Saccharomyces cerevisiae S288C: one gene and its partner. The protein of the gene in region 1 purifies or fractionates together with the protein of each later gene. This does not show direct contact. Each region holds a gene or a part of one and is shown on either strand. Other genes may lie near its edges.

Region 1 (3,978 bases):
TGAGCTAGTTTGGTTAGCATGCCCAAATTGTTAGCGTAAACATTGTCTAATGTGCATATATCACGGCCCATATTTCGCACTACTCCCTTCAATTGTCTTTGCCAATTTGTTTGTTACGGATTAATTTGTGAAAAAGCTTCGCTAATAATATCAATTTTCTTTTTTTTCTTTGCTTTTTCTACTATAATATACATAAAATTATATAAAGAGCATATAAACCATAAAGATTCCTCTGCGACACTTCTTATTCATTTCCTCCAACGACTTGTTCACCTTTATCATTAATTCTGATCAATCTTAGAGTATTCAAAAGGCCAAAAGTGCCATTCCAGTTTCTTAGAAATTCCATATTCTTCGCATCACTCAAGTCTGGACAGAGAAACCCCGCCTTAAATTCTTTTAACTCTTGATCCCTCCTTTGTTGCAGTAGCACTTGTCTATTGCTTGGTGGCCTGTTTGACCTCCTCTTCTTCTTGAGTTCGTCTAATTCCGTATCATCTCTTTCAATAAAACTTTGAATAAACTCTCTTGTGTGGGCGTGATCAAATATTGGTTGCCCTTTGAATGTATCAGAGTTAACTACATCCTGCATAAATTTTACCCGAGCTAGTTCGTGGACTCTTTTGTCTTGATGAAGCTTCTTTTTGGCTGCGATTTTATCTTCACGCATAGTAGCCCTGACCAGCTTTTCATACTTTCTACCCTTCGGATGAACCGTGATATTTTTCCCTTTCTTGGATAAGTTCTTTTGCAACTTAGATAAAGATTTAGTAACCGGCATGATTAGTTTGTCGTGGTAAGTCCTGTTCCGATACTTTTCTTCTTAGAAAGTACCTTTAAAGAGCTCATCTCTCATCTCGTCTATTAAACCATTTTAAAATTTTCGCTCGGGATGTTCAGCTGTGTACAATAATACAGCGTAAGTGCATTCAAACAATGAGGACAAAAGCATAAAGTTGTGAAGAAAATTGCCCATACATTCAATGCCATTATTTGATCTTATTTCTCCAAAAGCGTTTGTTAAGTTAGTGGCCAGTGAGAAGGTTCATAGAATCGTTCCAGTTGATGCAACATGGTACCTACCCAGTTGGAAGCTTGATAATAAAGTGGATTTCTTGACCAAACCACGTATACCAAACTCCATTTTCTTTGATATTGATGCAATCAGTGACAAAAAATCGCCCTATCCACATATGTTCCCTACAAAGAAGGTTTTTGACGACGCTATGAGTAATTTAGGAGTTCAAAAAGATGATATATTAGTGGTTTACGATCGTGTTGGTAACTTTAGCTCCCCTAGATGTGCTTGGACATTAGGAGTGATGGGACATCCTAAGGTGTACTTACTAAATAATTTCAACCAGTACAGAGAGTTTAAGTACCCTCTAGATTCCTCTAAGGTGGCAGCGTTTTCACCCTATCCAAAGAGTCATTATGAGTCCTCAGAAAGTTTCCAAGACAAGGAGATTGTAGACTATGAGGAAATGTTCCAATTGGTAAAGAGTGGGGAACTGGCTAAGAAATTCAATGCTTTCGATGCAAGGTCGCTCGGTAGATTCGAAGGTACAGAACCAGAGCCTCGTTCCGACATTCCATCGGGGCATATTCCAGGTACCCAACCATTACCATATGGAAGTTTACTTGATCCGGAGACCAAAACGTACCCAGAAGCTGGGGAGGCGATACACGCTACTTTGGAAAAGGCATTGAAAGACTTTCATTGCACTTTGGACCCAAGTAAACCAACTATTTGCTCTTGTGGAACTGGCGTTTCAGGAGTCATTATCAAGACAGCATTGGAGCTAGCAGGAGTTCCCAATGTTAGATTATATGATGGATCCTGGACCGAGTGGGTCTTGAAATCCGGGCCCGAGTGGATTGCTGAAAACAGAGATTAATAAGAGAAATATATTCTTGACAAGTCGATTTATTTAGCTACATATATTAATTATCTATCTACTTACTTAAAGGGCGATCTCCCTTTCTTTGTCTTATTTGTGCTCTTCATTGTTATTGCCCGGTAAAATAGAAAATAACAGCAAAAAATAAGACTGCTGGCAAAAATGAGCAGAGACCTTTCTATCGAGGGAAAAGAACAAACTATTAATTCTTTTCGAAATTCCAACACGATTAAACCATCATGGCAAGTCTACCTGGTATTGATGAGCATACTACCTCTGAAGAATTGATAACTGGTGATAACGAATGGCACAAGTTGGTTATTCCCAAGGGCAGTGATTGGCAAATTGATCTTAAAGCAGAGGGAAAACTGATAGTCAAGGTAAACTCGGGCATAGTTGAGATATTTGGCACCGAGTTGGCAGTAGATGATGAGTACACTTTTCAGAACTGGAAGTTTCCCATATACGCTGTCGAAGAAACAGAATTATTATGGAAATGTCCTGATTTAACTACGAATACAATAACTGTCAAGCCTAACCATACTATGAAATATATTTATAATCTACACTTCATGTTGGAGAAGATACGAATGTCTAACTTTGAAGGCCCTCGAGTGGTGATTGTTGGTGGTTCGCAAACCGGGAAGACTTCCCTATCGAGGACACTATGTTCTTACGCTTTGAAATTCAACGCTTACCAACCACTATACATCAATCTTGACCCTCAACAGCCCATTTTTACTGTTCCTGGATGCATATCTGCCACCCCAATATCAGATATACTTGATGCACAACTACCCACTTGGGGTCAGAGTCTCACTAGTGGTGCCACACTACTACATAATAAGCAGCCAATGGTGAAAAATTTTGGCCTGGAAAGGATTAATGAGAACAAAGATCTATACCTTGAGTGTATAAGCCAGTTAGGTCAAGTAGTAGGTCAAAGGTTACATTTGGATCCTCAAGTCAGGAGATCAGGGTGCATTGTCGATACGCCATCAATATCACAACTGGATGAAAATTTGGCTGAACTGCACCATATCATTGAGAAACTCAATGTTAACATTATGCTAGTACTATGTTCTGAAACGGATCCTCTTTGGGAGAAAGTAAAAAAGACATTTGGTCCAGAATTGGGAAATAATAATATTTTTTTCATTCCTAAATTGGATGGTGTATCCGCAGTTGATGATGTATACAAAAGATCCTTGCAGAGGACATCCATAAGAGAGTACTTTTACGGCTCTCTTGATACAGCCTTGAGTCCTTATGCTATTGGTGTTGATTATGAGGATTTAACTATTTGGAAACCTAGCAATGTTTTCGATAACGAGGTCGGTAGGGTGGAACTGTTCCCCGTCACTATAACTCCAAGTAACCTACAGCACGCTATTATAGCCATAACGTTCGCAGAAAGAAGGGCAGATCAGGCAACAGTAATAAAATCGCCTATTTTAGGATTCGCTTTGATTACAGAAGTTAATGAAAAAAGGCGTAAATTAAGGGTTTTACTACCTGTCCCAGGCCGACTTCCCAGCAAGGCGATGATTCTAACTTCATATAGATATTTAGAGTAAGTAAAATTATCTGTTCAAGAGCCTTATATCAAATCCATACAAATATCGTACTGTACTGTCGAAGTATTGTTTGGGTGATTTTTATTTTTAATTTTTCCAACGCTTATATATTAACAATATTGCCAATTTGTGTCTTTGACATTATTTGCGCTAGCTAAAAAACTGCTGCAGTTTCATCGAGGAATATAAAAAACGACGAGAGTTAAAAGGAAAAGGCAAATCAAAACTGATCAGAAAAATGAGTAAGTATGGTCCATTGGGTATTACTAACTTTATTACTCCGTACGATCTATGCATATTAATCCTAATACATGCTCACTGCTCACAAGATAATGGCATATCAGTGCCAACAGCAGTATTTCTTCGGTTAATATCCCCTACTAGACCTTCACTAGAATGGAATCCTCTGCTCAAGGATAATAGTAATTTAAGATCTTCATCTATTGTTCCTCCTCCTGTACTTCCTATTCTAGATAATATAATAAGGATACTGTTAGATG
Region 2 (6,380 bases), on another chromosome or scaffold:
GCAAGTGGGTAGTTCGGCTCCTCTCATCGGCCATTTTCTTATGCAACCTTAGATCTTGCAATTCCTGTTCCTGGATAGCGAACAAATCCTCTGGATTGTTTTCCTCAAAGGGGTCCACCAAAGTCACATTGGTGGGGATTTGTACTTGATTTTGTGTTTCTGTTTCTATTTGCCCCTTTGTTTCTGATTGTTGCGATAGTTCTGCTTGTAATGCTTCGATAGTCTCCCTCTGGTTAGCGATGCTTTTCTTGTAGGATAACATCGTGAGATTGGCTTTGTCGACCAGCTCAGGAATACATTTAAGATAGTCATCCTTTGCTTTAGCCTGCTTCTTCAAGTGCTCCAGTGATTTGGTTGCTTGTAGCAGTTGCATTTTCAAGTTATTCACTTTGATTTCGGAATTTTTTCTCACGTTATTCAGTTCTCGCCTCACTTTGGCCAGCTCTTTTGAGCTTTCTGCATCAAACACCTTGCTGTCTAAACTTAGTTCTAGTCCTTCGTAGTATTTTTCATGGAACGTGTGAATCTCATCTAACTTGGTGTTCACCGTGTTCTGGACGTTTTTGTAGTCCTGTAACTTGGCGCAGATTTCCTTCTTGAGATTAACAAGCAAAGTGTATTCATCGTAGTTGCGTTCTTCTTTGCTAGAGGGAAGTCGAACAAGTTCGATTCTCTTTTCAGCAGAGCTCTTGTGCGTTTCCTTTAACGCGTTGTTCTCATCCAGGATACTTTTCATTTTTCCATGTAAACTAGCCATCTTAATTTCATAGCCTATGATCTCGCCGGACAATAACTTGGCGCTAGACACTAAAGCGGCTTCATTTTCTCGGTAATGATTCACTAAAGATTGAAGCTCCTTGACTTTGCTTTTCATCTGCCTTAAAGATGACTTCTTTTGTACTCTTGAGCTGCTGAGGCCCTTCGTCACAGCCGCATATTCCTTGTCCGAGTTGAAAGATGAGCTCGACTCCTGATCACTACCATCTATCACACTGCGAGTGATGGCATCCAAGACACCACGATTTTTTGGCATAAGCACTCAGTCTTGGCCTTTTTCCCTCCTTTCTCCACTGATCGAAGCTGTGTGCAAAAATCGTCCCCGGTGTTTATTTATTTGTCCTATGGATAGATATGTTACTCACGCGTCGCGTCGCTCCTAAAGACATGAAAAGCGCTTTTACATCTTTGCTAATACTAGCATCGCAGAAGATCTTCTCCATTGCTATGCAACATACCTGCCTTGGTAGTTGGTTTCATAATTTACAATATACAAAGTTATATGCCCTCCGAGTCAAGGAAAAGATTGTCTTCCAAAAAAGGTGCAACTGTGCGTTTAGAATTGGTGGAGAATTATGTGATATGCTTCTTCACCGTCCTCTGCTTCTGCCTAATACCACACTCATCAATTGACTGGAGATCTGGCCTATCTTGCTACTACTTCATAGATTTTTTTTTTTTTCATCTATCCCCTTCCATCCCCTTCTGGTTCTACCCCTTCAGCGTGAAAAATCACCATACACGATCAATCCGCCCGAGAACGAAAAGTGAAAAGAACAAACAAGTCGTGTCAGATCCATTCCTCTATTCCTGTAGTCGGGTTGCATTCTGAATTTACACGTCACGAACCAGCACTATTTCGCTACTGTAGGTGTAGAACATTAGGACAAGGCAAGCTTCTGCGATAGACACTTTACTCACACATATTTCCCTTTGTTCCCGTTTGCTCTCCCTAATTGAACAATAAAGATGGTCAAACTTGCTGAGTTTTCTCGAACAGCCACGTTTGCGTGGTCACATGATAAAATTCCATTATTGGTCTCTGGTACCGTATCTGGTACGGTGGATGCTAATTTCTCCACTGATTCATCTCTAGAATTGTGGTCATTGTTGGCTGCTGATTCGGAGAAGCCTATTGCTTCCTTGCAAGTGGATTCCAAATTCAATGATTTGGATTGGTCTCATAATAACAAGATTATTGCTGGTGCTCTGGATAACGGTAGTTTGGAATTGTACTCCACCAATGAAGCAAACAACGCTATCAACTCCATGGCCAGATTTAGCAACCATTCTTCCTCTGTGAAGACGGTAAAGTTTAACGCAAAGCAAGACAACGTTCTTGCTTCGGGTGGTAACAACGGTGAAATTTTTATTTGGGACATGAATAAATGCACTGAATCGCCCTCCAATTATACTCCATTGACACCGGGTCAATCGATGTCGTCCGTTGACGAGGTCATTTCCCTAGCATGGAACCAATCTTTGGCCCATGTTTTTGCATCTGCCGGGTCGTCTAATTTCGCATCTATTTGGGATTTGAAGGCTAAGAAGGAAGTCATTCATCTAAGTTACACTTCACCTAATTCAGGTATCAAGCAACAGCTGTCCGTTGTTGAATGGCACCCAAAAAACTCCACAAGAGTGGCAACGGCTACTGGTAGCGATAATGATCCATCTATCCTGATCTGGGATTTAAGAAACGCCAACACACCATTGCAGACTTTAAATCAAGGCCATCAAAAGGGTATTTTGTCATTAGATTGGTGTCATCAGGACGAACATCTATTATTGTCCAGTGGTAGAGATAATACCGTTCTTCTATGGAACCCTGAGTCAGCCGAACAACTGTCCCAATTCCCAGCTCGTGGAAACTGGTGTTTTAAGACCAAATTTGCACCAGAGGCTCCAGACCTATTTGCTTGTGCCTCCTTTGATAACAAAATTGAGGTACAGACTTTGCAAAATCTCACAAACACTTTGGATGAGCAAGAAACCGAAACTAAGCAGCAAGAATCTGAAACAGATTTTTGGAATAATGTTTCCCGAGAGGAATCAAAAGAGAAGCCAACTGTTTTCCATTTACAAGCCCCAACTTGGTATGGGGAACCATCTCCCGCAGCTCATTGGGCTTTCGGTGGTAAATTGGTTCAAATTACTCCAGATGGTAAAGGTGTATCTATAACAAACCCAAAAATTTCAGGCTTAGAATCAAACACTACTTTGAGTGAAGCGTTGAAAACTAAGGATTTCAAACCATTAATAAATCAAAGACTGGTCAAAGTTATTGATGACGTTAATGAAGAAGATTGGAATTTATTGGAAAAGTTATCAATGGACGGTACTGAGGAGTTCTTGAAAGAGGCTCTTGCATTCGACAACGATGAATCAGATGCACAAGACGATGCCAACAATGAGAAAGAAGACGATGGGGAAGAATTCTTTCAACAAATTGAAACCAATTTCCAACCCGAGGGCGATTTCTCCTTGTCTGGTAATATCGAACAAACTATTTCCAAGAACTTGGTTTCTGGCAACATTAAGAGCGCTGTGAAAAATTCTCTAGAGAATGACTTACTAATGGAGGCCATGGTGATCGCATTAGATTCAAATAACGAAAGATTAAAGGAAAGTGTCAAGAATGCCTATTTTGCGAAGTATGGATCTAAATCATCGCTCTCGAGGATACTATACTCCATTTCTAAGAGGGAAGTAGATGATTTGGTTGAAAATTTGGATGTCTCTCAGTGGAAGTTTATCTCTAAAGCAATTCAAAACTTATATCCAAATGATATCGCCCAGAGGAATGAAATGTTGATTAAATTGGGAGACAGGTTAAAGGAAAATGGTCATAGACAAGATTCTTTGACTTTGTACTTGGCTGCCGGATCATTAGATAAGGTGGCTTCAATTTGGTTATCAGAATTTCCAGATTTGGAGGATAAATTGAAGAAAGATAATAAGACAATTTATGAAGCTCATTCCGAATGTCTAACTGAGTTCATTGAAAGATTCACCGTATTTTCCAACTTCATTAATGGAAGCTCTACCATTAATAATGAGCAATTAATTGCCAAATTTTTGGAATTTATCAACTTAACTACTTCCACAGGAAATTTCGAACTAGCCACTGAATTCTTAAATAGTTTACCAAGTGACAATGAAGAGGTTAAAACAGAAAAGGCACGTGTCTTGATTGCTTCCGGCAAATCATTACCGGCACAAAATCCTGCGACAGCGACGACCAGCAAAGCCAAGTATACAAACGCCAAGACAAATAAGAACGTTCCTGTACTACCAACTCCTGGAATGCCTTCTACTACTTCTATTCCTAGTATGCAGGCACCATTTTATGGTATGACACCAGGCGCCTCTGCAAATGCTCTACCTCCAAAGCCGTACGTTCCAGCAACCACCACTAGTGCTCCTGTTCATACAGAAGGTAAATATGCGCCACCAAGCCAACCTTCGATGGCGTCACCTTTTGTTAACAAAACAAATAGCTCGACCAGATTGAATTCTTTTGCTCCTCCGCCTAACCCATATGCCACTGCAACAGTTCCTGCAACGAACGTATCTACAACGTCGATTCCGCAAAACACTTTTGCTCCTATACAACCTGGTATGCCTATTATGGGCGACTATAATGCTCAATCTAGCTCTATTCCTTCACAACCTCCAATTAATGCTGTATCGGGTCAAACGCCACATCTCAACCGTAAAGCCAATGATGGTTGGAATGATTTGCCTTTGAAGGTCAAAGAAAAACCATCTCGTGCCAAGGCTGTATCTGTTGCCCCTCCAAATATCCTATCGACACCAACTCCATTAAATGGTATCCCTGCAAATGCTGCTAGTACCATGCCTCCGCCACCTCTTTCCAGAGCTCCCTCTTCTGTGTCAATGGTATCACCACCTCCTCTACACAAAAATTCTAGAGTCCCATCCTTGGTTGCAACTTCTGAGTCACCAAGGGCATCCATATCAAATCCATACGCTCCTCCTCAATCATCACAACAATTCCCAATAGGTACTATTTCTACAGCAAACCAAACGTCAAACACCGCTCAGGTAGCTTCATCGAACCCCTATGCTCCACCACCACAACAAAGAGTAGCAACCCCATTATCTGGAGGCGTGCCTCCAGCTCCGTTGCCAAAGGCCTCTAATCCATATGCTCCAACTGCAACCACTCAACCCAACGGTTCCTCCTATCCTCCAACCGGTCCGTATACTAATAACCATACCATGACCTCTCCTCCTCCCGTTTTTAACAAACCTCCCACTGGCCCCCCTCCGATTAGCATGAAGAAGAGAAGCAACAAGTTAGCTAGTATAGAACAAAACCCATCTCAAGGTGCTACTTATCCTCCAACCCTTTCCAGCTCGGCCTCTCCATTGCAGCCTTCTCAACCGCCAACTTTGGCTTCTCAGGTTAATACCTCCGCTGAGAATGTCAGTCATGAAATTCCAGCTGATCAACAACCCATTGTCGACTTCTTGAAAGAAGAACTGGCTCGCGTAACACCATTGACCCCAAAGGAGTACTCCAAACAATTAAAGGATTGTGATAAACGATTAAAGATTCTTTTCTACCATTTGGAAAAGCAGGATTTATTAACCCAACCAACAATCGATTGTTTACATGACCTCGTCGCATTAATGAAGGAAAAGAAATACAAAGAAGCTATGGTCATCCATGCTAATATCGCTACAAACCATGCTCAAGAGGGTGGTAACTGGCTGACAGGAGTGAAGAGGTTGATTGGCATAGCTGAAGCGACTTTGAATTAATTCAGTCTCAAAACTTTCAGTACAAAAAGTGGCGTATTGGCCTTGTTTTTTTCTTATTATGTCTTATAGTATTATATTTATATATTTATGTACTTATCCTTTTATGTTTAAACCTAATCAAGATCACAATTAGAACTAGCTTAACATTACTTCTCAAAACCAACCAATACCTCTTATATCTTTTTTACAGCCTTTCCCTTATGTTTTTACCATGTACACCTCGAGCGGCAAATCTCCGGGGAAATTTTAAACTTGCCGCATCGCACATTCTAAAGAACAAAAGGAGGAGGAACTGTCAATTATTCTATAATCTGGGGAAATTCAGTCATACTGAGAAAAACTAGACAATAGTCCTATCCTCGGCAAATTGCATTGATAGTACTTACACATCGAGAGATCATAGGACAGATAAGAAGCATTTTATTGAAGAAAAACAGAGAGAGTCACTATAAGTTGACCTCACTATAGAAATTAAAACAGAAAAGTTTTACTGAGGACCTTTTTAAACAGAAGGATATGCCTTTGTTGGCATAGAAAGAAGAATTTATAAATGGATCCTAATAGTAACAGTTCTAGCGAAACATTACGCCAAGAGAAACAGGGTTTCCTAGACAAAGCTCTTCAGAGGGTGAAGGGCATAGCACTGCGACGAAACAATAGTAACAAAGATCATACAACAGATGATACGACAGGTAGCATACGAACCCCTACGAGCTTGCAGCGGCAAAATTCTGACAGGCAATCTAATATGACATCCGTGTTTACGGATGACATTTCTACCATAGACGACAACTCAATTTTATTTTCAGAGC

What was found.
Region 2: the proteins of CLP1 (region 1) and SEC31 purify together in Saccharomyces cerevisiae (affinity purification with mass spectrometry, with the first as the bait; 2 studies listed by BioGRID). This does not show direct contact.

What each region holds. Positions count from the first base shown.
Region 1 is NC_001147.6:800,470-804,447, reverse strand, and holds CLP1 (cleavage polyadenylation factor subunit CLP1), read left to right. Parts: upstream 1-2,140; coding exon 2,141-3,478; downstream 3,479-3,978. Other genes in the region: peptide alpha-N-acetyltransferase subunit NAT5, read right to left, coding at 1-71; TMA16 (Tma16p), read right to left, coding at 245-781; TUM1 (thiosulfate sulfurtransferase), read left to right, coding at 984-1,898; APC5 (anaphase promoting complex subunit 5), read left to right, coding at 3,717-3,978. UniProt on the Saccharomyces cerevisiae protein: Component of the cleavage factor IA (CF IA) complex, which is involved in the endonucleolytic cleavage during polyadenylation-dependent pre-mRNA 3'-end formation. Associates with HRB1/CF IB to form the cleavage factor I (CF I) complex.
Region 2 is NC_001136.10:105,462-111,841, forward strand, and holds SEC31 (Sec31p), read left to right. Parts: upstream 1-1,746; coding exon 1,747-5,568; downstream 5,569-6,380. Other genes in the region: ASF2 (Asf2p), read right to left, coding at 1-1,033; SNF3 (glucose sensor), read left to right, coding at 6,119-6,380. UniProt on the Saccharomyces cerevisiae protein: Component of the coat protein complex II (COPII) which promotes the formation of transport vesicles from the endoplasmic reticulum (ER).